Linked DNA regions of Nothobranchius furzeri. The protein of the gene in region 5 interacts with the protein of the main gene of each other region in a biochemical or structural test. Links are inferred from orthologs where the notes say so. Each region holds a gene or a part of one and is shown on either strand. Other genes may lie near its edges.

Region 1 (6,127 bases), on a different chromosome or scaffold from region 5:
GACAACAATGAAGACGAAGCACAAAAAACGACACTGATAAAAATAAGCAAACATAAAAACCGACCCTGACACTACTGTCGGAGGCTTGGGTCTGTTGTGGTGTTGCTCAAGGTGTGGTGAATCTGTTCAGGATCCAATGAAATCTCAAATTAGCCCAAGAGTGAGATCCAAACTTTAGACCACTCTGAGGTAACCTGTGGAAGGAGCTGAAACATCTGGAGACGGAACCCTGCAGACCCGAGAGACCAGGAGGGGACCAGAATACCTGTGGACAGGTGTCAAAGACTCCGATGTAGAAATTATGAGGTCATGACTTCCATTATTTTCCTCCAGGGCCGTTTTAGGGTAGAATTCAGTAGCAGTATAATATAAGAACAACTTTGTTTATCCCGAGGGAAATTCTTGTGTCATGTACATGCTCAAAACAGTAGGAGAGACAAAGGAACCGGTGAAATAGAAATATGATATACAATATATACAGTAAAAATGATCTACAGTAGTACCCTGTAGGATAGTGCAAAACAAACAATTGGATAACTCAACAAATAAATACATGACTGCATCCTGGTGAATAAGTAATTAAGCCGTCGGTGCAGGCGATTCACAAAAGTGATTAAAGTATTGTGTTATAGAATTAGGGGTAGTAGTAGCAGCATATGATATGATGGGGGGATAAAAACATACTTACAATCAGAACTCTTGGGTAATATTGCACAGTCTGGGAGGGAACAGAATAACCTAGGTAAAGGTATTAGGAGAAACACCTACAGGGTGAGGAAGAGTAATGCCTTTCATTGGTTGATTTTCAGTCATTTTGAACTGATTCTTCTGGGATTGTTTTTAAGTTGTTTCAGAGAGTACGGCGGGTTTTAAAGAAGTGGGGCCAACAGCTGTAGGTTTACAGGACATTTCCCATACTCATGTGGACGTTTGAAAATCTTACTCAACCAATCTGGTTGCATTTCTCTAATTATTCCACAAGGGGCAGTCTCATAGCAACATAAATATAATATAGTAAATATAAACTATAGTAAATGTACTACTATATAATATCTATGAGCTAGCCCATCCTACATCTGTCTATGTAACTACAATTTGTGTTTAATCCTCCTTGTCCTCATCTGTGGGAGAGAAGCCGTCTATTCATATAAACCACCACAAGATGGCAGTGTTGTGATGCCAGGTGAGAGGCAGAACGTGAGGGCATGGGCGTGCCCCCCCCCCCCCCCCCTCCCATGACAACAGGTTAGGAATCTAGAAGAAAATCACTGCTGCAATATGATCTCTTAGAAATAGATTTAGTACCGTTTTAAAGACCACTTTCTCCTAAATTGATGTTTCCTTTTAATCCGAATTAGTTGTTTTGATTTCAGCTCCTTTTGTTCCATTTTTCTCCTTAAAACCCATTAACTCTGAATAAAGATCAATCGTCACCCTACTGAGGAAATTAATGAGCAAAACTTCTGTTTTATCTATTTCTGCATTAAATTTTCTGCTTTAACACAATAAAACATTAATCCACACCAGTTCTTTGGAGAGCTCTCAATCTATAACTGTTACAGCTTCTTGAAAATTAGTTTACTTGTTATAAAAAATGATTTAAGGTATTTATATTGGTATGGGTGATTTAATGCGCTTATTTGTATTAGATACGCAGTTAAACCACCTCTTTAATAAACTGAGAAAAACAAGCAAGTTGACCTTTTTAGATGATAAAGGTTTATTGAATAGCATTAAAGTGTCTGAACACATCAGAATGTTTGGAGATGTCATAAAATAAAATATTTATATTTAAATATAGACAATGCATGTTTAATGAGGACTCTAGAGCCTATGGTCTGTACATGGTAATGAAGGCTCCACAAAACTCATATTTCCAATATGAACACGTGCTCTAACAATCACTACTCCTAGTTTAACTTTATATACACGCTCTAATGCAGCGATGCCTATTTGTGTTCAGTTATTAGACAAAATAATGCTATTAAAACCAAATAAAAAATGCTTTTAGAGAAACTACTGGTACAAACAGCTGACATTTGCATGAAACCTTACAAAAATAATACATATACCAAAACATTTCCTCAAGTATTTACAGTCCGATTTAAATTGTCCCACTTTCACTTCTTTTTGGCAGACTTGGCTGCCTTCTTGGGTGTCTTCGCCTTGGGCTTGGCTGCTTTCTTCGCCGGCTTGGCTTTGGGTTTGGCCGCCTTGGACTTCTTCGCTGGAGCCTTCTTGGCTTTCGCAGGTGTCGCCTTCTTCGCGACCTTTTTCACTTTCTTGGCAGCTGCCTTCTTGGGCTTCTCCGGGGTCTTGGGCACCTTCTTGGGCTTGGCCGCCTTCTTTGGTTTGGGTTTGGCCACTTTTTTGGGCTTGGCGGACGCCGCAGCCTTGGCTGGCTTCTTGGAGTCCTCCGGTTTGGTCAACCGGAAGGATCCGGACGCGCCGATTCCCTTGGTGTGGCGCAACATCCCGGACGCCACCAGCCTCTTCAGGGCCATTTTAATCTGCACGTCGGCGTTGTCGCCCACTTTGTAGGTCTTCCTCACGTACTTCTGGATGGACTGGCGGGACGCTCCGCTCCGGCTGGCGTCGTGCACAATAGCCGCTTTAATCATGTCCGAATACTTGGGGTGAGAAGCGGGCTTCTTAGGCTTCGACGCCTTTTTGGCTTTGGCTGGAGCTCCCGACGTCTCTGCCATGGTGACTTTTTTCCCAGCAAGTTTTTAAAAATAAAAGTCCTGGATGTGTTGGTTTCACCCGCCTGGGTTGGCTTGATCGTCAGGAAGATACAAAAAAAAATGTGAGCGTTTTAACAGTAAAATAAAAAGTTGTAGGTTTAAGTTCGTTTTTTATCGTCTTTGAAGGATTGAAAATGATAATTGAGTCTCCCAAAAGCAAAGAGAGGTATCAGTATGTCGGTGAACCAAAGTGTCTTTATTCCACAGGCGCTCCAGTGAGCCTATGAAGCCTATCTGCGGACGTGATTGAGAACACCAACTGCCAGCAGCTGATCTAGCGGACTCCATGGAACTGGCGCCGTCCCGTTTGTGTTTCTTCATCCTCCAACTCGCGTCAAATGTGAACCCCGCGGAGGAGCTGTGTCCCTCCGAGCGGGACGGGCTGATAGCAGGCACATTCGGCTCCACGGACATCCACTTGTCCTCCTCCGCCCGCGCCGGCGAACAACTTTTATTCCAGGAAAACCCACTGGAAGTAGTGCGTGCCGTGAACAATTTTGCACAATTCGCGCTAAATTGACCCAAACAGACGGAACCTGGGCGGAAATCGCGCAATGCATAAGAAAATCTAATCTATGCTGGAGCTGGTGCACGTGGTTCGGACGGCGCAGCCTCTCGTTTATGCTTTTAATACTTCCATACATTTTCCCAACTAACACAGTCCGGCCATTGACTTTGAATGACGTGTTCGAGATTATTTACTGTTAAACCTCCTATAAATGAAATGTCACAGCGTGTAATGTGCAGGTGACAGGTGGGACTCCATCGGGGCTTCATCTGGGCGGTGATCCGCACCGTGGCTTTTCTTTATTTGATGATTTTGGAGCAGAAATGCTTATAAGTGCGACTATAGCAGGCGCCTCTGGAGCTCCATTGTCAGGAAAGTTGCCAGCACCTCCAACACATCAGGGCTCGTTCTGGGGGCATTCGTTTAATTGATCACATCATTTTAGGACAGGGTTGCGTCCGGAAGTGGCCAGGTGTGAGTCCAGCTGCGCGGGGGTAAGAAGGGGGGAGATACTGCGGCCGAAACCAAAGTCCTTCAGTGCAAATGAGCGCAGTGATGGCTGTCTTTGTTAGGGAGCTGGCGCATCAGAGCGCATTCAATTAGATCTGTGACATTTAGGTCCCCGCCGTGTTATAAGGTCAAGAGTGCCGCCGCAAAGCATAGAAAACCTCCCTTTAATAAAGAAACTTTATGATATTTCTACAGTTTTGTTTCTTGATTTAACAGGAGCGCTGCTGTCCCTCCCTGCAACGCCATTTTGATTCCTATGAAAGTCACAGCTGCTGAAGTAGTGCTTTTGTGGCATGCTTACTTTATTTTTTTCACTATATTTATGGAATGATATGCAGATATTCACCTTTTTTATGTAAAACCCACTGATGAGCATCGGTTTTAGGGGATCCGGTGGCTTTTAAGGGGGGAGAACCCCTATAATGCAGACTTTTGCAGGATGATGCGCTTTAATTAAAATGATTTTAAACTGAAGCCTGGCTTTTACAGCCTGATGCGCTCCTGTAGTTATGTTGAAGGTGATCAACAATAACTTTAATTTTAAAAACGAGTCGCACTGTGGTTAATTTCCACATGTTTTTGTTTGTTTACAAGAGGGTGGGCAGAGGATGGAGAGGGGAGAGAGTGAATGGGTGAGTGTGCTTTCACGGGAGGCTAAAGAGGGAGGATGTGTGTGTGTGTGTGTGTGTGTGTGTGTGTGTGTGTGTGTGTGTGTGTGTGTGTGTGTGTGTGTGTGTGTGTGTGTGTGTGTGCGTGTGTGTGTGTGTGTTAGTGAGAGAGAGAGAGGCACAAGAGAGAAAAGGGAGGGGGGTTAGTCCTAGATGAAAGGGTGAGGGAGTTTTTGAAAAGATGAAAATGTTTCGATGGTGCAAACTGAAGTGATGAGGGGAAAAGAAGATAATTAACTAAGTAAACAATGAACTCATTTTCTGTTCCCGACTCCAGACTGGTGGTTTCTGCTGCGGATGTTTATAGTTAGATAAAGTGTGGAGACTGGAGCAGGTGGGTCTTCGTGGTCCGGTCCGGTTCGGAGTGATGCCTGCTTGTGCCCCGTTTAAGAAGCGAAGCCGTGGGGAGGACTAGACCACTCCCTCCCCTCAGCCGCCGACAGAGGGACGTCCTACTGGACCTGTAATCGGGATTTCACACACACATAAACACACGTGCACGCACGCGCACACCCAAGTGCCTTCGGATTGGACCTAATTTATTATATAATTGCTGTTTTATATCGTTTTCTTTGTGTTGAAGGTGGATTATTGTTGTGTTGATGAATAGCTCATGTAATGCAGCCGTTTCTTTCAGGATTTAGTGCTTTTTATGACACCAGACCGATATTGTTGAATGAACCCTACCAGTGAAACCGGTCCACGTGTTCACATAGAATTTAGTGAAATGGCATTGAAAAGGACTGTGCTGCTGTTCATGGGGACACAATGTAGCTCATTAAAGGTTCTGTTTTTAATTGTGAATTAGTTTGTGAAAACGTTATATTTTACCACTTCTAGCCCTTTAATCACTGAAAGTCAAAATAATAAAATTGTATTTAAAACTACACAATGTATTTGATAATGTAAACATGAGGACTACGTTATGAATTTTATTCTATTATATAATAATAATATAACAATAATGAATGAATGAAATTGACCCTATATCTATATCCTCATGGCAGTACACGTGTATAGGAATGAATGAGGTTGATTAAGGTACTAATACTAATACTCCATCTGACCTTAATGCAGCTTGACGTGAATTTGTGAAATAAAAGCTCTTTGGATGGCCCCAGTTTGGGGAAAGAGAGCTCTGACCAGATTTATGAACCTATACTTTGTTTTGTTATGGCTAGTTTAACCCTTTGATGCATAATGGTCACTACAGTGGACAGGTACTCAAAATTGTTATTTATTTATTTTGCTATTAAGCACAGCTGTTGAAGACTTTATTGCATTTGAGCTCCTCCATTTGCACTTCAGTAAGTCAAGCCAACATATTTCATGTTCAGAATGCACAGTAATAAATTAAGCAATTTATGTGAATGCATGTTTAACCCCTTGTAGACTAATTTTGCAGACAGGTATCAAACTCCTTCGGGCTTTAAAGTATCTAGATAGAGTATCAGGATTAGTACCTTCATCATAAACCTGCCATGGCGAGAACCTATTTTACTTGTCTATTGTAAATACATAATAAAATAATAATTATTATGCAGATGTTTTATTAACATTGAGTTGAAACTGTTTTAAATGTTATTGATATATCTAGGGGTCGGACCTTGACAATCAGTCAGTTTCTCGTAATTCTGGCATGAATATGAAAGCCTGACCAGAAGTGTAACAGATCTCTTACTAACTAGCTGTTAATA
Region 2 (5,979 bases), on a different chromosome or scaffold from region 5:
CACATTTCTGTTACTCTGTCATAGATGGAGTTTGCTGATGGAGGTAGCTGACTCTTGGGGTGGTAGTCATGGTTACCCAGAGCAGAGTACACTTTAGTAGCTGAAGAAGGAGAAATGCAAAGCACATTCTTAAAAAATACGTTGTGGATAAAGGGTTAAAAAACAACAATGACCAACACCTTCTCATATATTTCTTCACACTTACTTGGAAAAACCTCCTTTATGATATGAGTAAGGTTGCTGATAATGCTGACCACTGCCTCCTCTCCTAGATCCTCATTTGGTACATGCGGTGTGTCGTCACTGTGATGTTAAATAGAATCATGTTTAGGGATTGAATACTAAAAAGGGAGATTAGTTCAGTTGACCCGTATTTGAAGAGGGTAGAACATGCAGCACTTTTCATGTTTTGTAAAATAAAGTTATGAATGGAGACATTACAGATGGACTGCGTACCCTGTCCATACGATGAAGTCCGGCTCTGGTAGAATATGCTTCATGGCGTAAACAGAAGAGTTGATCAGGTGCCAGGGTGAGTCACACACATAGTCTCCAAATATACCAGCACCAGGCGCTGGTCGTTTTCCGCTGGACGCACACACTGACTCTGGGTTCTCCGTTAGTTTAAACGTTGGATCCCAATGCAAATCGGTGATATGCCAAAAGCTCCCTGGATGAAACCAATGTGTAAATATGCACAGTAAATTGTCCCTACACATGGGGGGAAATGCAAGAGATAGGCTCTTTAATGCATAACAGAATTTAATTGCTTCTTACCTGACAGCGCAAGACCCTCCTTGAAAAGCAGAGAAGAAATGAGGATCCATACTGCAGACATGTTGGACTCTGGGACAGCAAAATACATTCAAAGAAAGCCAAGGAGAGGTCTGAGGGGTAAATCATAAAAGGCAACGCAAGATAAGATAGCTGCAGCTGTCGGTGAAGGTTCGCAGTCGTCCAGTCATAGCTGCAGGCAGCTGGTAATGACAAGCCACGCCACACAGCCACAGCCGATGCAAGCTGATTGATTACCGGTATTTTGGTTTCCAAAAATAAAGAGCAACATTTAAAAGCCTGCAGGAAATAAGTAATTTGTGCAAATTTTTTTGGGTAAGATTGAAATGTATATGCAATGATATCTAGGCTGTGAGTGTGCATGTAAAAAAAAAATCAAAGAAAAAGTCAACAGCTGCACAGTTTTTCCACTTAAAGGTGCATTATGTAGAAATGAAGTAAAAACAACATCCTGTGGGAGAATTAGTTTACTGCAACCTCTTTAAACAACTGGACCTTTTTGCCGGCTATCGTCAAATTACAACTGTCGGCGCTGCAGTATTAGCTCGCAGGAGACACGGCAACCCCACACTCACTGATGGTAAACAGTAGTTACACCCCTCCTTCCTTATTTGTTTTGAAAGAAGAAAAAACTGACAATCCCCGTAGCTGAGATGTTCTCATTGTAAAATTTTCACTATATTCTTACATACTGCACCTTTAAACCAAAATCAAAAGAGTAGCTCACATTTGATTGATATAAAATGAATAAACTTAAAGTTTCTACAATACTGGCTGCCACAAAAATAAAATTAACATCAGGCCGTGTGGACTAATGACAATGCAAAGTGTATTTATGCACAGGCGACGCTGTAAAAGGGTTTATACTAGTAATGGCACCTCAGGGGCAAATTCCTCCATAGATTATTTTTATGTCTTCTAAATATAAACCAGTTAGTTTCCTGTCGGGAAACTGAAGCCAAATGAACCCACATGTGGTCATAAACAACTCTTAGAGCTTTTATGAATTCCAACATACTTTTAAGTGTTTCATTACAAGAAAAATACAAGTAAAGTTGAGACTGGTGCTGCTTTCTTTTCATACACGGGATCTATTACTGCAACACCTTTTGATTTGCCAGTCAATTGCATTGCTTTGAAATAATTAACAATCAATATCAATAATATTATTATATACATGCAAGACTGTTTATTTAGAACCTGCCCTGTTAACGTTGAAACAGTTTATTTGATTCAATTATTATTTCTTAAAATATAGACGTAAAAATTTTAGGGTCAGTTCATAACTTAAAATTACTTAGTTTGTGCTTTCATTTATTGTAGAAGCACAATAATATTTGTATTTGTCAAAATAAAAAAAAATTGTAAGAAAGATTTTCCGTGTGCATTTTGTCTTTTACGACAGTCATTGAATGCAACTAATGTGCTATGCAACCTGCCTAAAATATTCCCCGTATTTTGACGTCAGGTGGAAAAGCATAAAAAAACAAAAATGTCTTCTTTTAGTTACACACATTATGCTATTTTACGGAAATACATTTTTACAAGGATTATATTAGTTATTATTTTTATAGAAATGAGTCGACAAAACGTTGAAAAAAATTCCTGTGAAACAAAGCTCAGGGCTAAATGTACCTTAGTTGTTACGAGTTCGCGGGACTTATACTGTGCGCATGCGTTGTACATTGAGTTTAGCGCGCGAGTTTACTTAAGGAGAGATACTGCGTAGCTACATTGGGATACTAGGCCGTTTCGGAAGTTTTAAAACATTTGCACACCTTTTTAATACGTTATTTACGCGGTGGCACCATGTGGAATCAGGGTGAGTTGAATGCAGACTCGGTTATTTGTGTTTAAAAATCAGTAAAGGCACGTAGATGTCTGTTTGAGGCTAACGTTAGCAAGACTTTGGCAGTCAACGTTCGCTTACCTCATGAGGTTAACGCTAATGCTATTACACCGAGTTGTGTATGTTACCCAAGTACGTTTTACTTCGAATAATCGCTCCTGTTTACTGTAGTCTAATTGTTTTTTGATCTTTCAGGAGGCTACAGCGAGTCTGGAGTGGACGGGGGATACACTCAGTCTCCTGGAGGATTTGTTGCATCCCAGGGAGGAGAGAAGAAAGGGGTCAGTTGTAGTCTTGTTATAGCCAGATTTTAATCCAAGACAAACCTGACTCACGCCCAAATTGATTAAAAAATAAGTGCTAGGTTACACTTTTTCTCCTACATTCATTTTACAATCCAATGGATCAATATCACATACTCAGATATTTGTAGATTATGCAAGATTAAATGTTGATAGACTAAAAATTGTATGATTTTTTTTCACCAGAGAACGCGTGCCACACAAATCATCCCCTGCACAGTGTCTCAGCTGATGTCCGCCTCACAAGCAGACGAGGCCTTCAAAGTGGGAGATGTGGAGGTTACCCAGGTAAGCTGAACCAAGGCAAAGTGTACATGTGACAGCATTCAGTTAGAAAGAAGTAGAAAGTCCCTACATAATGGTACTGTAATAATAATGAAATAGTGATGGCATAATTTTGTCAGGTTACACTAAAATAAATGTTAAAATGATGAATAGTAGTAATTTGCTTTATCTTTGTGTTATAGGTCACCATTGTGGGCATCATCAGGAGTACAGACAAGTCTATGACCAATATCCAGTACAAGGTTGATGATATGACTTGTGCACCGATGGATGTGAAGCAGTGGGTGGACACTGAGGTGGGTGATTAAACTGTTTAGTGATTTTTTTTTACTAGTTAAGATTGGGTCCATTTCCTAAAGTCCAAGTCCACAAGGTTGACCGATATTGTTTTTCTATTACCGATATGTAGGAGACACTGTAAGCAAATGGTTGATATCTAGATGTTTTCCACCTTACTTTCCTGCTAAAATGTCACAACATCAGTTAATGCACAAATTTTCTGAAGCTGAATCAGTTTGTGAACTCTAAATTTAACTTACTGTTGAATCTTTACTTTGTGCACTCTCATTTTAAAGTCAGACACCTAAATAAAGTTAGTTTAGAATATTTATTATGCAGATGTTATTAGTGAATGTAAAAATACATTCAAAGTAATTTTCTCCAACAGCACCGGGCTGTTCAAATCAGCTTTACTAAGGACAAATATCGGTCAATACCGAAGTATAAACGCTGGTAAATATCGGCCGAACGATTTATCGGTCTACCCCTTCCCCAAAGTTAGGACCAGATTTTTTTGTGAAAACAGAAATTTAATTAAAAATAATTATGTTTTCTCTAACGAGATAGAAGGAGGATTGCTGTACTGATGCTAGTCAGTGACTCGATGCAACCTGCTGTGTTCCTTATATAGGAGCATTTTCACTGATTGGCTTAATGAACTGACCTGTATCGTAATGTTTACTTTGTGAAGTGCCTTGAGACGACTCGTTATTTGGCATTGTATAAATGAACTTAACAAAATTGAATTAATGTTCTTTTTTGTCATATTAAAGAGCAAGTTCACTGAGAAACCATTTTTCCTAATTACGTTTTAAAGGATCGGTCACTCAGAGTTTAACATGCGGGCTTAACGTGAAAACAGTCTCCTACCCCTATTTCCTGCATTTACGTTTGATAGAAAAAATGAAGAAAAACAAAGTTTGGTTCACAAAAGCCTAACAGATCTATGTCACACTGTCACTTAACATTCATGGACTCGCCTATCTCATGACGGGGAAGGCTGTTGTTAGTTAAGCATCCAGGAGAGGACAGAGCGTGTCTCGTTAGCATTAGCAACTCGACAAGATGGCAGAACTCCTTCAGGTTTGTGCTATATGTGGAGATAAAACGCAGAGCAGAGTCAGTGGTAGAGCTGTGTTGCTGTTAGCCAATCAGAGGATAGATGTCCAAATATTAGGAAATAAGACTCCAAATCCTACCTACGTAATAAAACAGGAGCATCTGAGCTTTTTTCCTCAGAGAATGACTTACAAGGCATGGATTCCTACTACAGACCACTGCAAATGTATTAAATATGAGTAAATTTGACTTTTAATATAAAAAGTTTACACAAAGGTGTGATTTTTGAATTATGTTCACCTGTGTGTGCAGGACCCGAGCGTCGACAGCGGCGTGCTGCCTCCAGGAACATATGTCAAAATCTCGGGAAATCTGCGATCTTTTCAGGTGAGTTTAGTTTTACAAACGTCTGTTTTTCCCCTGAAGTAAACAAAAACTGTTTTTAAAACATCAACATTTCTGCTGCTCCAGGCAAGAATAAGATTAGACAAACAAAACTCATTGTTTATGATGATTGTGAAAATGTGAAAATGTTTTCATGACTACAATAAGTACACAGCCATTAATCCCATGGCTGTGTACTTATTGTAGTTCCTCTGTGGAATCATCCTTGAAGAAACTGAAGCTGTTTGTTTCCCGTGTCAGAACCACAGGTCTGTCGTGGCGTTCCGCATCCGGCCCCTAGAGGACATGAATGAAATCACCTCACACATGCTGGAGGTCGTCCAGGCACACATGGCACTGGGAAAATCTCCGAGCACGGTTAGAAGCACCGAACACACATTTCTCAGAAGTCTCCTTATGTGCTAGAAGTCGTCTTAGAAAGAGGAAGTTGAAGAGTTCAGACGCAAACTGTTTTTCTTAAATGTCATCATTTAAGGTGAAATTTAACAGAGCATCACTATTTTTATTTTCCATAACCCGTCTCTAAGTTTCACAGAAAATTGCAAAAAAAAAAAATTTTTTTTAATGCAACATATTCTATAATTAAGATGTTTGCAGTTTCACATCACTGCTGTTTGGTCAAGTTGAAAAGTTCAAATTTGCTCATTTATATTCTTCCTTCTAAAACTGTTTCATAGTTTTGTTTCTACAAGAAATGGCAACTTTTCATCTTTATGCAGACATGGAAGCAGATTTTCTCCATACAGTAACTCCTCCTCATGTAGATTACCAGAACACGAGGAGATGGCGAGGTTTTTCTTTTTGTCACAAGTAGTTCAGAGATCTGCAGATTCAGATCACATGACCAGTTGGAGACTGGAAGGAACCCTAATTTAAAAAACTGAAATAAAAACTAGCGAGTCTGTAAAGAATGAACAGATGTTCTGAAATGTTAGTGAATAAAAAAGTTTTCAAGTCTGTATTTCATGCAGATTTTTTGCTGATATTGAAGAATTTTAGAGAAAA
Region 3 (6,022 bases), on a different chromosome or scaffold from region 5:
ACGCGTTTCAAGCTAACTATAAACTGTGCCACACCTTTTACTCATAACTCGTGTTTTGATGTTTAACTCCTAAATCTCCATCATGAAGAGTCGTGCCTGCAGGTCAACATCTCCTGTTTCCCCTTCAGGCTTACAGAGTCCTCGAGCAGCCGGCTCCGAACAAAGATATGACAAAGGATGACTTCATGGAGCGACACAGAGCCTGGTGCTGTTCCACCGTCCCAGAACCAGCTGTGTGTGGGATCAGTCGGGTCTGGGTCTTCAGTCAATCCCGACGGCAGAGCATCGCGACCCGCATGCTGGACACCGCCAGGTAAGGTCGACTTCAGCCTGGTTTAGAAATACGGTCACTTGGATAAAATGATTTAATTAGTAGTTCTGGAGCTAAAGTTTCATTGACGATACATTTTTCCTGACTCCTGCAACAGGATGAGTCCAAAATGACTCCAAGTATTAAATCTTTTTAATTCTGTCTAGGAGAACGTTCATATATGGAAGTTACCTGACCAAGGAGGAAATCGCCTTCTCTGATCCGACTCCGGATGGGAAGCTGTTTGCAACCAAGTATTGCAACACGCCGACCTTCCTGGTGTACAACTTTGTCTCCTAAAGTTTGGAAACGAGCCAAACGACTCGGAATGTTCTGTTATGAAGCTGTTCAGTTTTCTGCATCACATCAAGACTGTCAAGAGTTTTTAAAGCAAAGTTGTGAGATTAGGCTGAGCTTGAGTTCTGTGTGTAAATGAAACTTATGTAATTAAAGTCTGTTAAATAGCTCGAGTTTTTGAGACTGAGATTCAGTGTTATTGTTCAGTGCTGCCAGTTCCACTGTGTGGGTTAGTAGAATGTTTCTCCTACATGAAGAGGTTCAACCTACAGTCACTGGAAACTTCTCATGTTAAAGCAAAACTTCAGTTAGAAAAACACCAATCTTAGCCGGATCTTGTCGAAACCGGTAAGCACAAACCTGTTGATGCATGGATGCCATCTTTGTTGTTGGGCATTTGTGCTTTGTACATTTTAATAAACCAGTTGGTTTTGACTCATTACTGCAGATTGTCTCCTGATTCATTGGAAATGTTGGAAAAATTGGGACGAACTTGTTAGAATTGTAACATTTACTGTTTGACAGAAACACAAACGAATACAAATACAGGAAAAGCTGACAGACAAAAACAATCTACAGAACAAACAAATGTGGGGAATATGAACTGAGAACTTCTGATTTAGACTGAAATGTAAACATGTGCTTGTTGAGTGAATCAGTCGATAACGATCGCCGCCTCCGCAGCCGTGCCCAGAGGAGCGTTGTCCTCTAGAGCCTGGACGATCTGAGCTGCCGATGGTCTCATCTTAGGACATTCTGATGTGCAGACGCAGAAGAGCTCCACCACCCTGCGGTACGGGCTGCCCAGAACCTCCGTGTCCAGAGGCGGTCGTGTTCCTAAACGCTCATAGTAGGCTTCATCATCAAATGTCTCCTCCATTGAGTCTTCTGAAATAAACCCAATGGTTAAACTTGTTAGCTTTCACCACACAACACTTTTCTTCTGTAATGTTCCAGTCAAAGGAAGCAGCTACTAAATTCTACCTTGAAATGTTCCTACAGAACTTCTCACCTTCATATTCTTCCTCCTCTTCATCATTCTCCAGCAAATCCACATGAGGCATCGCCAGAGTCATCATCTCCCACAGAGTCAGACCGAAAGCAAAGATGTCCGCCTTATCGGTGATCTCTCCTCCTAATATTGCTTCTCTGGGATTCCATGGCTCTGTGCCGATGTACTCTGCTTCTGGGTCAGCCACTGAAGAGAGAGAGAGCACTCTATTTACTGCGATGGAGCCATACTGTAATTCAATTCATAACATAGCAGAAACATGTAGAAATAATACATATTGTGTTGCCAGTAAAGAGCTGAATGTGAACGTTTACCTATCATGTTCTCATCTAACTTCAGAGAAACGCCAACATCACAGATCTTCACCGTCTCAAAGTCTCCTCTGATGACCACATTGCACGACTTCATGTCGCCATGCAGCAGCTTCTTCTCATTGTGGAGATACTGCAAAGCAAATATGTTTAAAGTTTTGTTTTAAAACAGGAAAGATAATGAATAATGTTTCATTCCACCAAGCTTTGACAATAAAGTTAATTACCATCAGGCCACGAGCCACATGCAGAGCCACCTTCTCTATAACAGCGGCAGGGAAAGCGGTCAGACCTTCCTCCTTCCTCTTCTCGATCAGGTCATTGAGGGACTGCTCTCCTCCGTACTCCATCGCCAGGCATTTGGAGCCGTCTTTGGCTGTAGTGAAGGCACGAAAACCTCAAAAAGACAGAATTAACAATGCGAGTGAAACAGAGTTGTGAAAACGGTCAATCTCATACAGCCTCCAGACTTCAACGGTATGTTTAAAGAGCAAGTCACCCCCAAATCAACTTTTCCCCCCTGATAAACTATATAAATGTGTGTCTAATAGTGCTGCAGACACGTGTAGTCAGTTTTCTGCCTAAAACTGTCAGTGTTGTGCCGTAGTCAGGTAAAAACTCTGCACTACTTTTGAATTTAAATCCGCCATCACTATTGGCTAAGAGGTACCCTAGAACGTTAGCTGGTACCATATGATGTCACAATATCATTGTGAGCCTGTGTGTGTATTTGATAGCGGCTCCGCCCTCTCGGTCTGCTAGGCAACAGCATTTGTTGCATTTGTCAAACAGGAAGTGGGAGTTGAGTAAGAATCTGGTAGGGGGTGACTTGCTCTTTAAATGAGCTAAATCTGCACAGTGGTTGTTTATTGTTGAGAAAATTCAATGATGACACATCTTTGGTGTCCAGGATGATGTGAGCATCTTGTGGGAATTAGAAAAACCACTCATGCATGTTAAGGCTGGCTTACCAACAATGTTTGGGTGATCGATTCCCTTTAGGACCTCCGCCTCCTCATTGAGACGTTTCTGATAAACGTCCGCCTGTTTGGATGCACATCTACTGTTGATCTTCTTCACAGCCCAAGGCGATGCATTCAGCTTTCCCACTCTAGAGATAAAAACATACATTTGTTACTGGAGCTGAAATGATTCACTTTCAGATATAATAATCACTTAATCATCCATCTGAATGGAGAAACAGTGGTTTGAAGTTTAGAAGAGACCCTGATGTCAGGAAGAGGTGCTGTGTGAGCCCCTGACATCAAACCTGTTCATGAGGTAAACGTCGACTCCAGTCCCGCAGCCCAGCTTCTTCATGAAAGGTGATGCGGGGATGGTGACAGGGGTGCTGTCACCACAGCTGCTGCTGTTGGAGCCCTTTGACCCGACCCTTTTAGGGGTTTTATACGCGCCCTCGTTGACTGGATGGGAGGCCATTCCGTTCAAGAACAATATTGGACCTTACGGAAAAAATAACAGTTAGCAAATACGTTATTTTGATCAGATGTTAAACTGTACAATAATAGCAAAACGAGTTTGAGGGCTTTTAAATAGCGCCGATTGAAAGTTTAATATATTTGATAGAACAATGCCGATCTATAATGTCTAATTGCCCGTTTACCATTAAGAACGGAAATAAAATGACAACTTTTGAGTGGAGGCTGGCACAAGGCCCGTTAGCAAAGGTGTTATTGAGGAAATGTTTCTGTTTTGTAATGTAGCAGGATTTGGACCATTTTAAATCAAGGTAAATGAAAAGTACAAGCATGTTTAACAACGGGAAATACGCTTTATACTCAGTCTTATGTAATATTGTTGAACAGAAACCACCCAGGCAAACGACAGAGGGGAAGCCAAACCTAACGTTAAAAAAGGCTAAAACCAACTGTAAACGCTGTTAATACCGCGTTAATCTTTTAGCACCTTACAGGATTTCATGTCAGTCCAATGAGAATCAACTTTAATTTGATAAACGTAACCTTACCCGAGTTTTTGTTGCTGTCTGATCTAAAAATAATCTCCTTCAACAAAGAAACCGCGCTGAACATTCAAACTAGTACTAAGGCAGACACGGAAGCTGAAGAGGGACAAACTGCTGCTCTCTAAAAAGTGCGCTTTTAAAATGACAAAACCACTCTCTAATGCAGTTATTGTAATGCCGCTGTGCACCGCTAGAGGGTGCTCATGTCAATGAAATAGGGTTCTGAACAAGTGTACCTTCTCAAAGTTTGTTTACAACATGCATTTTTATCACTACATAATTATTTATCTACCGATTTGTCTCAGATATATGAGCTAAGTTCTTCATCTGAAATCAGACGTGTTTTTTACTTTTTTTTATGTTAAATCTATAAACACCTCTAGGTTTTTTCAATCTTTTTGTGGCGGTTTCTACGATTCAGTTTAGTTGTTTTCTATGGTGCATTGTTTCACGATATATACATTAATTTATGTATTAAAAACTATTTATGCAGCTTTTACCTTCAAACAAATAATGATTTAAAGCTCACTTTTACTAAGACTTGAGAAACGTGAGTGGAACATGAAGCATGTTAAAATTTGTTTCACCAACTTCAAGCTTTTGTCGAAAGAAGAAAAGTCGAGACCTCGACCTTGACTCTCATGATCCCAAACTTAATTCCTATTTTTCCCACATCGCACAGAGCTGTGCAGCTCAATCTCCTCGCTAGAAGAGAAACAGGAATGTGGTCTGATGACAAATGGACATGGAAGGGAAGAGTGGGACATTCTATTATTCTCCCAGTTCCTGTTTCACCTAGAAGTTAAATCAGATCATGCTGGTGAGCACCACTGCCACATGTTTTGGAGCACTTTATAAAATAGAGTGGGTCCGTTACTGATTAGAAAACAGAGAATTTGCTGTGGGACAACCGATTTCTACGGCTGTGCCAACATCTACTGTTGGTAAAACACAGATTATTGGTTAAAAACATAAACTCTCCTTTTATGGTCATAAAATGTGAACACTTAAAGTTCAGGATCATCCAGGATTTATGTGCCATAAATCTACTTCTGATTGTGGTTTTCACATGTGGACTGCAGCACACGACGGACGTATTGCTGAGCAGTGCAAACGTGAAGCATCTGCTCTCCAGTTAAAGGTATCAACAAAATACTTTTGACATTATCTTTCACGTTTAAGCTCTTGGAACTAAAAATCAAAGCATGACCAGTGATCATGCAGGAAATGAAATAAATGCTGACTTTGTTCCTCTGCTGTGTTGGCCTAGAAAAAAAAAATCACACTCACCTGTAGTTCAAGACAAAAGCAGTTCCAAACTGAGTTCCTCCATCGAGTCTGGAGGAAAACACATTTGCCTCTCGGGATTTCAGAAATTAATCACGTTTGCGTTTGGCTGTGCTCATGCAAATCTGTCCAAAACCTTTAGAAAACACTTGATGACTCATAAATTTTGCACATCGCTGCAATTAATTTAAGCCTGTCTCTATCTCACTAGTGAAATATGCTCACTATTTCCTCTTTTGATCCAGAGGTATCTAGATTAATGTTTTCCATATAAGTGGGTTTTCACAGCTCTTAAATTTCCCCTTGAATCTGACTTTTAATCATCTTTATTTAACATATTATAAACATTTCTGTGAAAACCTGTCGCAATTATGGCACAAGTTCCCTAGTTTGAGTCAAACCATCTCTGAGTCTGTCAAGTACTTTTTGAATAATTTCAAGATTGCCAAAATATGACACGTAAAAACATTTTTTTTGGCATGTCTGTCTCCAGCAAAACATTAATAATGTTCTTGCTTGATTTTTCCTCAGCATTTGATACTGTTGATCACCACATTCTATGAGACACAGGTGCTACGTGGAAGTGTCAGGAACCGCACTACAGTAGTGTTCTTCATACCTCTGCTTGGTTAATGCGGCTACATCCCATGTTTGATCTCCCATGGATACTGAATTATGGCATTCCACAGGGCTCAGTCCCGGGGAAACTGTTGTTTTTAATTCTCTTTGCCACCTCTTCAGCACAATTTAAACCTGACAAGCACAAATGTGCAATTAGCAAAGGTGCTAGGTCCATTAGCGTCTTATGTTAGGCCAACCAT
Region 4 (5,983 bases), on a different chromosome or scaffold from region 5:
TTACTGAGCCAGGATCCTCTGGAGGTTTCTTCCTGTTAAAAAGGAGTTTTCCTCTCCACTGTCACTGCATGATTGCTTAGTATGAGGATTGCTGTAAAGACTCTGACACGATGCAACCTGCTGGGTTCCTTATAAAGGAAACTTTTTACTGATTGGCTTAATGAACTGACCTGTATTGGAATGTTTACTATGTGAAGTGCCTTGAGACGACTCTTGTCGGGCTTTGGCGCTTTGTAAATAAAATCAAATTTAATTGAAAACTTTAATTAGTGTTGTGCGCTCTAACCTCTGAACTGTCTAAACTTCATTGCATTTTACTGACAAATTTAATCAATCAAACTTCGTACTGGTCTTACAGCTTGCATATCAAATACGAAGTTTTAAGTTGGAAAATTTCTAGTACATTGATACTCTATAGTTTTTATTATTTTTGCTCTATATTAGATGCATTTGTTGAATTTTTTATGTTTACATTTTATTCACATCATTTTCTTTATTCTTCCTAACAAACTAAATCTAATTTTAAGAGTGTTGATGTGCTAATACATTGAATAAATAAGGAAAAAAAGAAAACTCTAACAAATTAAGAAAACAATTTACAGATTAGACAATTAAACAAACAAATAAACCAACTTTCTGAGACTAAATTGTTGACAAGTTGTGCACCCTTCCTTGTTCTTTTGTCTCAAGTTAAACTTGAATAAAATGTCAACAGAGAAGCTGAGACCAGAGGTGTAATTTAAGCAGGGGTACACTAAAGACAAACCCATCCAAATCAAGCTTTTTTTGTTGATGTTTTGTTTTATTGTAATGTCAAAATAGTTTGAAATAAAGATAGTGACAGAAAAGAAGTGAGGCTAAGAGAAAAAATGGAGAAAATCATTTGAGTAGCTAAATTAAATTAGCAGGTTTAAAGAGCCTGAGGGCAAAGTGGAGCTCCGTCCCCTGTGGCTACGCTTTAGAGAAGGGAGGCATGAATTAAGCTTGACTGGCTCTTTCCCTCCTCCCCTTCCTCGCACTTTATACTCCACGGTCTTTCTGGTTTTTACTAATATGAGGGGTGAGGTAAAAGGACACAAAACGAGTGGGTGAGGAGATGAGAGGGAGGGTATAAAAGCAGGTTGTGAAGGTGAGGACCAGCTGAAACGAATCTGTTCGCTTTTGCAGCTTTGTTACTAATCAATTTTTTTCCTGGAATTTTAGAAGATAAAACGTTTTTTTTTTTAATAATTGTTCAGTTAATGCCTTTGCTGTTTATTTTTGTTTGCTAGTTGTTGTTCGTGGTGTTGGGAGGTCACGGCTGTGTCTGCACCCAGGATTCCACTATGAACCCTGGGGTTTTCACCAGTACTGGCCCCCTGTCCTGGGCCGTGTACCTGATGAGGAAAGGGCAGACGGGCACCGGACTCTTCGGTAAAGCTTGCTTTTTTTTTTTTTTGCACCTTCTAGTCTTTACCATCACACATCACGTTTTTAACTAAATCAAATACTCAATGAAAAGCATGTCATATTCCACTTGTTGGTATTTTGTCTGATCTCGAGTTTCACATCACAGATATCTGGTAGTTTAAAGGTCTGCCCAGATGCGGGTTTATCCAGTAGTTGGGTGTATAAGCAAAAGTAAGAGCATTGCTGGTGTTTTGTTGTCCTTGGTAGAGTTTTATGGGTCATAGTGTTTTCTCAGGGCTGTCATGGGTGATCGCTTATCATGATGGATTCAGTTAGCATGGGTATTGCATAAGCCTGTTACTGGTTCCTAAAAACCAGTGGTTCCAATGGTCCATGTATTAAATGCATCATGTATTGTGTGCGATTACCTCTACGATGGTTGTCCTATCATTAAATTAAACTTACAATCTCTTGACGCATTTTGTTTCAGACTATCCTGGGGGCAGGATCATCCATCCATCCATCTGTCTGTCCATTTATCCATCCATCCATCCATCCATCATCTACATCTTACAGATTTGGGGTATCAAACTAGTTGTGTGTCAGGCTGGATCCGAAACCTTTAGAGGTGCCACATGCTCTGTTATTTCCACTCAAAGCAGCTGTTTTAGTAAACATTTGAACATTTTCAATATGATGCTCCATGTGTGCTCACACCCTACAACCAGTGTCAGAAACTGTCTCTGGGCATGCGTATTGAGACCTAGCTGTAGCGGTAGGCCTCCAAGCATCTTGTTTTTGTGCTAAGTGCTTTTTCTAGGGTTTTTCTGCCAAAGCAGATCCAACAAAACACCAGGGAATACGTTTGTCCTGAACCAGTGCAAACATTCCCTTTGATATGAAACGTTTTATTTGTTAAAGAGCAGTCTGTAAATACTTGTGAAAGGGACATATCATGCAGAAGTCCCATTTGGCTTCCATGTAGGTCTCTGCTGACTCTATGGCTGTTTTTACAGGACCAGAGCGTTTGTAAAACGGGATTTGCCGCGGCTCCCTGAGGAGGATACAGGTCGTTTATAAGATCAGACCATGGCGGTAATGTGGCGCAATCGTGGCAATTTTATAAAAGATTAGATGATGGCAGCATAAAGGGTGTATGGAGCGGTCCGCACACTTCCGTTTATCTTGGACATAACTTGCTTTTTATTGCGATTGAAGCCGTGATCGTTACTTTTTTTTAACAAGCAGCTCCCAAAGGTGTCTGTCCCCATCAGTCCCTGTGCAGTCTCTGGTGATCTGAGCTTCAGCTCTAACAGAGAGGCTCATGGAGCGCTGCGGCGCTCCAGTTTGCCATCTCAGCTGATTTTGTTCAAAAAGCAAACCTTATTGCCTGGGTTTACTTTCATTTTCAATAAATTTGCCAGCCGGAACTCAGCAGTAACTCCCCACGTCATCATGACACCTGCCTCTGTTGCGCCAGGGCGCATACGACAGACCATTACCGCAGTATTACTACCAAGCGAGGCGGAATGAATGCCGCAAAATTCGCGCAACGCCATGCCGGCATGTCTGTCTTATGAAAAAGGCTTATAAAATATAATAAATTTACACCACCACCACCACCCCTTACCTCACTGGTCCACACTTAGGGAGGCTTCCATTCTGGGCAAGGTGGAACAGCGGCTCTTCTTGAAGCCCCTCCCGTATATCAGAGCTCCTCACTTCATAGCAGCCATTCATGGATGGGTGGGCGTGGCCAGCAATCACTTATTTGCATTAATGTGACAGAGCTCTGACATGATTAATTATGGGAGTTACTGTAATTGTCATGAATAAAGCTATTTTATTTGAGATCAAGGACTAAAATATTGGCCAAGGATGCTTTCCGCAATTTTTGAATGATTAAGAGACGTAAATGCCAAACCAGCTTGGATGTCTTCCATGTTACCAAGTTAGAACCCCACCCCTTATCAAGCGATGAAAATGCTGTTGAACTTCTGCTAGGACCGTTCCTACCTGCACCATCACAGAGAACATTACGCTAAGTTGGTACCTAAAGATCCAATAGATATTTAGCTGTATGATAAAGCTCACAAGCCATAGCGCTCAATACCCATAAAGCAAGAGGAATCTTAAGGAATTTAAGGTCAACAACGTGTAGAAATTTTGACTTTGGAACTAAAATAAAAGAGTTTTGAAAAAAAGATCTTGAAGAAAAATGTCACACTTTGTGTCCAAGGTTGTAGCGGAAGTGGTTGACGTCTGAAAATCCTACCAGTGGCAAAACAAAGACAACAGAGAGTCTATTCATGACAGCATCAGAGCAAGCCCTTAGCTGAAGAGCAACAGCAGATAGGACCATGGAGACAATTCAGAGATGACCCTGAGACAGTCCAGCAGATAATAGCAGGATGTAAGATGTAGGCAATGGGACACCATAACCGAGTGGCTAGAACAGTGTAAAGGAAAATCTGAGTCTAATCTGGGTTAAAGGTTCTATAGTCAGAGTGGGATTCTCCACCATGAGTGGATCCAGTCTGACAAACAGGCAATGGCTAACCAAGTGGAAATCATGGTGGTCTACAATCTGCAGAATAAGTGGCGGTGAAAGATTCGGAGAACCCAAGTGACTAGAACATCGGGGTAAAAGACATGAGAAGATGCAGAAACACCAAAGGATGAGAGAAGAACTAGAGGTTGTGGAGCGTTAGGACCTGAGTAGGACCAGAGGTCATTAGAGCACTTAGAGTTGTGACCACCCAAACTAGCACCTGTGGAACTCTCAAGTTTTACCCGACACAAATGCATTACGTGATCTGTAAGCGGCGCCGTCACTCCACCCACACACATCACACACTGTGGGTGGGGCACCAGGTGCCCACCCTCACTCGAACACCTTTAGTGACAAAGCGGATTGCCACCCTTGTCCCACAGTCGTTGATGGGATGAGCCACAAAATTAAATTAAGGGCACCATGTGACCAGTCTGTGGGCCAGTGGCGGTGATGCTGAACATTCAGCTCAGTCGGATGGGTTTTGACAGACTCTGAACCCAGAAACAGCAGCAGGCAGAACCAATCACTCAGCTCCCTAGCCAATCAGTGACTGTTGGGAAATGCAATCCAACTGAACCAAACCCATCCGAGTAAAGCTGAGTGTTGCTGCTGGAAAGGTGCATTTAGAAGGTCCCTCAAGCTCTCAGGCCTGCGGTGAAGGACTCTTGTGGAAGAAGTTCATCTATTGATGTAAATCCTGATTGATATCTGGAGGATCATTGGAGAGGAGGAGGATGAAAGCTCAGGTTACAGGTCAGTCTGTGGGAAATGCTGGATGAGTGAAACCTAACTCTTCTCCTTGTTCCTTTCTCATCACAAGTCTGTTTCTTTACCTACATGATTATGTAGCTCGCAGCGTCTGTTCTGTTTAGATCTGTGAGGAAGTCAGAAAGGATGAGATGAACAACAGAGGAATATATCAGAATAACATTCTGTCACTTTTTCTTTTCTTTACTGGTTAGAAAATAATCACAGATTTTCTGCAGATAACCAAGAAAAGTGTAGATTCTGGTGACGAGGAACCGAACGATTTCCAAAAGGATATGTCCAACTCAAGTCACGATGAGAGATGAGGTGTTTACATTTTAAACCCCCCCCCCCCCCCCCCCCCCCACACACACACACACACACACACTTGGCTATGAGGAGCTAGAAGCAGAGGCAAAGTGGCCTTTAACTAAATGTCCTCTGACAGCATTTGGATGTGACATAAATTACTGTTAAAATTCATTTTTAAAAATAGCTTTTTCTGATTCCATCCAGATGTTTTACTAGCTCTGTGATTCACACTGTTCTAGTCTGTTTTCAAACCAGTATGAGTCACTCTTGTTTTTATTTTTCTGCATTTTGGTTCAACACTTTCATGAAGTTTAAATGCGTAACAGAAATTTTGTGACTGTATATTTTGCTTCCTCTTGGACTCCCTTGAAAATGATTTTTAATCTCAAAAAGACCTTCCTGTTAAATGAAGAATAAATAAATACAATAAAATAAATAAGCAGGTTCTAAACAGTGTGATGGGGAGATTTGTAAATAACAAGATATAGGGAGGCTAAGTCTCCTCCCTTTCCGGGTGGCTCATGGGTCCCCGGAAGAACGAAAAAATGAATGTGAGTCAACGGGGCTAAAAACGCTGTGGCTACACTGTAGCTCATCGGTGTAAAGCGCTTTGGAGTCCTCTTAATCTGAAAGGCGCTATGGAAGTGCGGGCCATTTCTCATCATTTAACTGATTAGCACGGAGTTGAAGTGTAATAAACACCTGGAGCATCCTAAATCTTTTATGATTTAAATAAATTATTTAAATTGTTTGTTAACTGATGTTAGAATAATGTAATTTAAAAACTATAGAAACAACTTATTTAGCTCTTTGACTTTCAGAAGTTCCTTGAATTAGATCCCTTACTGCCCTCTACTGTTTATATGATGTAATGTGTGTGTGTGTGTGTGTGTGTGTGTGTGTGTGTGTGTGTGTGTGTGTGTGTGTGTGTGTGTGTGTGTGTGTGTGTGTGTGTGTGTGTGTGTGTGTGTGTGTGTGCGT
Region 5 (6,279 bases):
TATTATAGCAAAAGTGATCCAAAAATTAAGAAAAGATGGAAGTGCAACTCCCTTTTCTCACCCCCCCTTCAGCTTAGACTACCCACCCTTTTCAGAGTCCCATAATCGGAAGGTTGCAGGTTCGAGCCCCGCTCAGTTTATCACTGTCATTGTGTTCTTGGGCAAGACACTCCCTTTGCCTGCTGGTGGTGGTCGGAGGGACCGGTGGAGTCAGTGTTCGGCAGCCTCGCCTCTGTCAGTGCGCCCCAGGGCAGCTGTGGCTACATCGTAGCTCATTCCCACCAGCGTATGAATGTGTGTGTGAATGACTGATTGTGTTGTAAAGTGCCTTGGGGGGTTCCAGGACTCTAGAAGGTGCTATATCAAATACAGTCCATTTAGTTGTTTCATTTTTAGAACACAATAAGCCTCGCATCAAAGCACTGAGCCTAAAGCCTGATTTATGCTTCTCCGTCTGCGTCAGTGCGGAGACACGCAACGCCATTATCCGTCCTTGCGTAGGGCTCCGGCAGGCACGCAAGTACGTACGGAGTCGAGCCCACTTTTTTAAACATCCGTCGAACGAGACGGATTACGCAAGCTTGTGATTGGTCAGGACGCCGCTGTTGTTTACAGCACCACCATTGCAAAGAGAGCCGAGGATAACTAGCGGCAGACACGGAGAAGCTTGAAGAATACCTCACGAAAAAACTCTAAAAATATGAACGTTTAATCCTCCCGTGACTGGAGGAGTGAAACGATGCGCAGCAAGCGTTTTATTTGTGGACGGAAATGACAGGAAACGTGGGTTTAGAGGTGGTGAGTGCATGAAGTGGTGGGAGAATGAGAGACAAATATGTCCGTGTTAAAAGTCTCTTATATACACAAAAAACACAATATAAACACACTATCTTGGACTGGATACATGACAGGATACCACAGAACAGCGCTGCACCTTCTGTGGTCCTGCCGGGCAATTGCTTTGCAACACTCTCCAGGAGACGGAGAAGTATGAGAGCAAAACGCTTCCGTCAATCCGTGCGTGTCTGTCCCTTGCGGAGCTGACGGAGAAGCATAAACCAGGCTTAACACAACATGGCGCAGCAAACTGAGCTGAGACCAGCAACAGGAGTGTCAGTCAGCCATGACACTCCTGCTTGCATCTGACTCCTCATTCATCTTGTAAAATTTGGTCAAAAATGTTGTCAATTTTAGTCAAAAGACAAAATTTAAATTAAAACTTCTGGTCAAAATTAACACTATTAAGGAGTAGAAAACATCCTCAGTAAAATATTCTGGGCAACAGTGAAGTCTGTTCTAAAGTAAAAGCAAATTAAATGCCGTTTTTGAACATTGGATGAACAAAGGCTTCCAAACCATCTGGACATCTCCTGTGACTTATTATCAACAAATTTCCCTCAAATGTTTTAGCTATTGCCTCACTGAGTAATGAACGGAGTATTGAAGGCCTACACAGCCATCAGACCCACGGATTAGATGATCCAGAGGCTCAGAAACAGGATAAACCTCCAACCTTATTTTAACGTAAAAAAGGCAGCACAGCACCATTTTACCTGCAGTTATTCACTAGTGGATCAAAACTTAACTTTCATTAGCAAAATAACCTATAAAAATGATTCAATGAATCAAAGAAAGCAGGAAGAAATATTACTTCTGTTTGTACATTTTTACTTCAGTTCAAACTATTTAGAATTCTGTGTTTACATCACATTTAGCTTGTATTTTATTTAAAATATCTTCAGCATTATTCATTTTAGGGGATTTTTTTTTGGTGTTGCCTAATTTGGGAAAATATTCACAGCATAATTATTTGAAAAGATTTTAGTTTTTAGGAAGTATGATCATTTATGACAAAACTGCTTACACTATGAAAAACTGACATTACTGCCAAGGCTCCTGGCAGGACACAGGGCCCGGGAGTCAACAGGAGCAGTTTAGGTGTTCCCGTGTGCTCAGAAAGGTTACTGATCCATTCAAAAAGCAATGAAAGGTCAAATCATTCACACGAAGTACATTTGTTGTTAATTATCTGAAAATATCTGATTAATAAAAAAATGTTTTTTTTTTGTTTTAAAACAGGAATGTCACAATTTTCCTTTGACTTTTGTTACAATATGGATGTATTTAAATACAGAGAAAACAGCTTGTGAATACAATGCATGTTAATATAGTAAGTATAGCATTTTTAAAATAAGCATATTCACACATGGAAAGTATCAATGTGAATAATTGTATGGCGGTAGCTCTTCGGTACTTTCATTGTGTAAAAGTAGCTCCAAAAGGTTAGAGACCCCGGCCTTAGATAGAAAACTTTTTTTATTAGTTGGCCCATTTTATGTGAATCACTTTGTGATGAGTGCTACATAAATAAAATTGACTTGCTTGACATAATAAACTGAACTTGAACGTTTACTCTGTGAAGTGCTCTGAGACGACCCTTGATGTGATTTGGTGATATTAATAAACTGAATTGAAATTTTACAGCCCTTCCACCAAATATCAGATGATTGGTTGTTTCATACAAACAGCCTGAGGTTTCAGCAGTATCACAAAAAGTCACGTGTACACAGCGTCAGCTGTTGTAGGTCTGTAGAAAAACACTAAACTAGTGTTTTAGTGAAGTTCTGTGAGATTTTCAAACCAGTTGTGACGTTACAGGTGTGATGTAAGATGGTAAAATTATGGAAAATGGAAAAAAAAGGAGGAATTAGATTCAGCATTCCTGGGACAAGCTGAAAACTACACTGGTACTTTTAAGGAGGGGAGTGGAAAACATCTGCCAGAGCCCCAGCTGGATTACAGCGAGAAAACTAAAGACTCCAACAAAAAGTGAGAGCAAAACCTTGAAAAAACTAAAGTTTTAGATGAAGGAGCTTTTCCTTACCGTACAACATTGGGATGTTTGAGTTCCTGTAGTAGAGACACCTCTCTGACAGCAGTGCTGGGAACACCCTCCTCCTCACTCTCGAGACGGATCTTCTTCATAGCCACAATCTGCCCTGTGGCCTTGTGCCTGCCCTTATACACGACCCCATAGGTGCCTGCACGCAACCGTTCAGCAGAAGAAATAATCATACATGTGGACACAACCCTCCTGTGCACACATCATACCGGGCCATTCATGTTTCACAAATCAGAAACGCAAAGATACATATCACACAAAGTACAATATGTCCAGGAACTGATTTAAACTCATACTTTGTGAGAACTTTTTTTTTAATCACAACGATGCAAAAAAAATCTGGAACGTTTTTGAAGTAGACCCACCTTCTCCAATTTTCTCTATTTTGACATAATCGTCCATCTTTGCCTAAAGGAAAAAAGAGAAGACGTGTTTTATTGTTATTTCAGCTCCAGCCGACCTATTATACTTCCTGGTAAATATTTTCCTGACACTATCGGAGCTAAAGGTAGCTGGACTCCTCATCCTTGTGTGTAACAATTAAATCAAGAGACTGACTTCGGTGGTTTACGGCTAACTAGACTAGCTTTTAAAACGGCTTCCTCTGCTTTATCCACCAACGTCAGCCTACCTACCACTAAAAGGTAAAAGGTGAAGCAGCACTACTTTTTAACCGCCGTCACACTTCCTAGCCAGAACACGTTTGTTCAATCTGAAGATGGATAAATGCTGTTTGGTAAGAAAAATATCCAACCTTACTTTGTGTCGTTTCTGATTCGGGTTGCTCACGAGCTGACTGCAGTTGACTAACTCTTTTGAATAGACCGCAGTGCAGTGGCAGTTCAAAATGCACCAATAAGATACGCTGATACTATTCAAACACACCAATCAGAAATAAAGACATTTCGTTGTGGGTTGAGCGGGAGACAAGGCGCCTACGTAGCAACTACACGTTTAAACGTTTAGATGCGTTTACGGGTAGTAGGATATTACAAATACGTGTAAAATTCTAAACACTAGCATGGTAGTTGATGTCATTATCATCTTGGATGAACCGTGTTTAATGTTGATGTTTGTCAACCAAGCAATAAGCTTCGGATGTTCTATTCCTCTGGCCTTATCTTCTTCTAAGTAGACAAAATGAAAGAAATAACGGCTGTGTTTTGTTTGGCACCTGTTTATACTGATTGGTTGGTTCCAACTCTTGAGTTTTGAGCAGGTTTTGAGGGATAAAAAATTTTAAAAAAGGAGAGAGGGAGAAACATATACTATTTAAAAATAGTTAGATACCTGCTATGGGTTTTTGAATTTGTAGTATGATCCTGCTTTATAGTTTACATGGGTCTGTTCCAATTTTGATAACTCAGTGTTAGGTTTTGGCTTGTGAGTTCAAGTTTTGCACATTTCTCAACTTTTCACATAACTTAATACAACTACTGTTCAAGTAGTTTTGTTCTTCTGTGGTCTAGATGTCTGATTTCCGTTTGTCGTGTTTTTCTCTACATGTACGGGGTGTTCGAGATTTAACCAAAAGAAAAGCTTTATTTTTTATTTTGTATGCAGCAAAATAAGGATGTCTATTTTTTTACAGGAGACTCATCCCTCTTCAAAAGATGTTACATTTTGGCATAATCAATGGGTGGGGGGAGGCTATTTTTTTCTCATGGTACTAATTTTTCAGGGGGTGTTTTAATTTTATTTCATCCTAAATTTAATGGTGAAGTTATAGACACCGAGGTTTCAGAAGACGGCAGATGGATTCTGTTGGTCATTAGATGTGGAGATAATTTTTTTATTTTAGTAAATGTTTATGGCTTTAAATCTAGGGTTTCTAACACCACGCTCCTCAACTCTTTATCTGATAAAAATCCTCATGGAATTGAACAAATTTCCTTCAGCATTTGTGGTTGTTGGCGGTGATTTTAACGAAGCTCCAAATTTATTTTCAGATAGATTTCCTGCAAAAGGTAGTCCAGATAATTTTAACCCTGTTATTTATGATTTCTGTGGTAAACTTTCCTTACTAGATGCCCTGAGAATTTTACACCTTTTGGAAAATAACCTCTTTACTTGGTTTAAAACAGACTTATCTCAAAAATCGCGTATAGATTTGTGGCTAATCTCTGATAATTTAGCTCCCTGGGTTCGAAGCTGTAATATTGCTATTGCTCCCTTAACTGATCATGCTGGGATAGATATATTTTTATCAAATTTAAGATCCACTAATTGTAGCAAACCTGGATATTGGAAATTAAACTATTCCTTGCTACAATAAAATGATTACTGCTTGGGCATTGAAAAAATTGCTACTAAATTCAATTCAATGTCTGAAATTACACCTACCATAAAATGGGAGCTTTTCAAATTTGAATGTCAGCGCTTCTCAATGCGCTTTGGAAAGCAACAAATAAGAGAGCAGAATAAAGCTTATACTGATTGTTTAAAAGAGTTTAATGAAATTTTAAGTATACATGTGTGCGTTTGCACTCATTAAGGGGAAAATTAGACCTTTATTTCCAGAAAAAGGCAAGGGGAGCTTTTAAAAGGTCTCGGGCTAGATGGTTGGAACACGGAGAAAAAAACTCATCCTTCTTTTTAATCTGGAAAAAAAACGTGGAAAGGCAAAAAACATCTACTTTATATATTAATAACAATCTCTCAAAAGATGAAAATGAAATTTCTTCCTTTATCTCTAACTTTTATCAGAAGCTGGGTCCCGGGTCGCTGGGTCCCGGGCTCGGCCGGCTGGTGGGTAGGAGGCTGCGGGTGGGCCTGTGGGCTTGCCACTGATATCCGCTGGGACTCTGCCGGCTGCTGGTTGTGGCCCCCTGGGGCAATCCATTGTGCCTCTCAAAGGGGGCAGGGGCTTTTCTGGTCGCAGTCTCCCTGGGGTCCCTGTGCTCTGGGGCAGCTCCTGGCTCTCTGGGACTTTGAGCTTCCTCCATCTCTTACACATCTTTGCGGGGTAGATCTGTGGCCCCTCACACTCTCTATTGGACACTCCTATCGAGAAACCTCATATACAAGCTCGTGTACACACAGGTGCTCACATGGTGCGCTCATAAGTATGGACTTAGGCACATTCAACAAATGTCTTAAGGCTGTGGTTAACACTAAATGCACTGTGATTTATTATCGTGTGATTGTTCAGTAAAACAATGTTGATTTTATATTTCCTCATCAGGTTGACGCAGTGATAGCTTGCTCCTGTTGTATTGCTGTGTTTCCCTTTTCTGCAGATCTAGAAGCAGACTCTTGTTCATCATTAATTGTTTATTTTTGTGGAACCCCTCCTCCCCACCTTTTGTCTCTTCCTTTTTGTCTCCGTGTCTGGTCGGAATTACAAAGCATTCAAAAAACAATAATAAAGTTTTAAG

What was found.
Region 1: of the proteins of cdk1 (region 5) and h1-0, one has a biochemical effect on the other in vitro, tested with the Homo sapiens proteins (3 studies listed by BioGRID). The link is inferred for Nothobranchius furzeri from reciprocal best matches to the Homo sapiens genes CDK1 and H1-0.
Region 2: of the proteins of cdk1 (region 5) and rpa2, one has a biochemical effect on the other in vitro, tested with the Homo sapiens proteins (2 studies listed by BioGRID). The link is inferred for Nothobranchius furzeri from reciprocal best matches to the Homo sapiens genes CDK1 and RPA2.
Region 3: the proteins of cdk1 (region 5) and pbk form a complex in vitro, tested with the Homo sapiens proteins (2 studies listed by BioGRID and IntAct, with this or other methods). The link is inferred for Nothobranchius furzeri from reciprocal best matches to the Homo sapiens genes CDK1 and PBK.
Region 4: of the proteins of cdk1 (region 5) and runx1, one has a biochemical effect on the other in vitro, tested with the Homo sapiens proteins (2 studies listed by BioGRID). The link is inferred for Nothobranchius furzeri from reciprocal best matches to the Homo sapiens genes CDK1 and RUNX1.

Annotation. Positions count from the first base shown.
Region 1 is NC_091756.1:32,652,432-32,658,558, forward strand, and holds h1-0 (histone H1.0), read right to left. Parts: upstream 4,134-6,127; 5' UTR 2,706-4,133; coding exon 2,121-2,705; 3' UTR 1,697-2,120; downstream 1-1,696. UniProt on the Homo sapiens protein: Histones H1 are necessary for the condensation of nucleosome chains into higher-order structures. The histones H1.0 are found in cells that are in terminal stages of differentiation or that have low rates of cell division.
Region 2 is NC_091745.1:71,982,592-71,988,570, forward strand, and holds the start of rpa2 (replication protein A 32 kDa subunit), read left to right. Parts: upstream 1-2,476; 5' UTR 2,477-2,604; coding exon 2,605-2,617; intron 2,618-2,839; coding exon 2,840-2,925; intron 2,926-3,132; coding exon 3,133-3,234; intron 3,235-3,413; coding exon 3,414-3,527; intron 3,528-4,881; coding exon 4,882-4,956; intron 4,957-5,214; coding exon 5,215-5,331; intron 5,332-5,979. Other genes in the region: smpdl3b (acid sphingomyelinase-like phosphodiesterase 3b), read right to left, coding at 1-100, 206-303, 457-670, 778-865. UniProt on the Homo sapiens protein: As part of the heterotrimeric replication protein A complex (RPA/RP-A), binds and stabilizes single-stranded DNA intermediates that form during DNA replication or upon DNA stress.
Region 3 is NC_091742.1:11,217,197-11,223,218, reverse strand, and holds pbk (lymphokine-activated killer T-cell-originated protein kinase homolog), read right to left. Parts: upstream 4,047-6,022; 5' UTR 3,982-4,046; coding exon 3,918-3,981; intron 3,394-3,917; coding exon 3,201-3,393; intron 3,042-3,200; coding exon 2,902-3,041; intron 2,328-2,901; coding exon 2,158-2,327; intron 2,064-2,157; coding exon 1,934-2,063; intron 1,806-1,933; coding exon 1,620-1,805; intron 1,496-1,619; coding exon 1,263-1,495; 3' UTR 1,101-1,262; downstream 1-1,100. Other genes in the region: N-acetyltransferase ESCO2, read left to right, coding at 129-313, 478-610. UniProt on the Homo sapiens protein: Phosphorylates MAP kinase p38. Seems to be active only in mitosis. May also play a role in the activation of lymphoid cells.
Region 4 is NC_091743.1:80,942,819-80,948,801, reverse strand, and holds the start of runx1 (runt-related transcription factor 1), read left to right. Parts: upstream 1-1,149; 5' UTR 1,150-1,325; coding exon 1,326-1,413; intron 1,414-5,983.
Region 5 is NC_091752.1:60,127,073-60,133,351, reverse strand, and holds the start of cdk1 (cyclin-dependent kinase 1), read right to left. Parts: upstream 3,758-6,279; 5' UTR 3,662-3,757; exon of another isoform or gene 3,657-3,661; intron 3,602-3,656; exon of another isoform or gene 3,538-3,601; intron 3,311-3,537; 5' UTR 3,305-3,310; coding exon 3,268-3,304; intron 3,042-3,267; coding exon 2,885-3,041; intron 1-2,884. UniProt on the Homo sapiens protein: Plays a key role in the control of the eukaryotic cell cycle by modulating the centrosome cycle as well as mitotic onset; promotes G2-M transition via association with multiple interphase cyclins.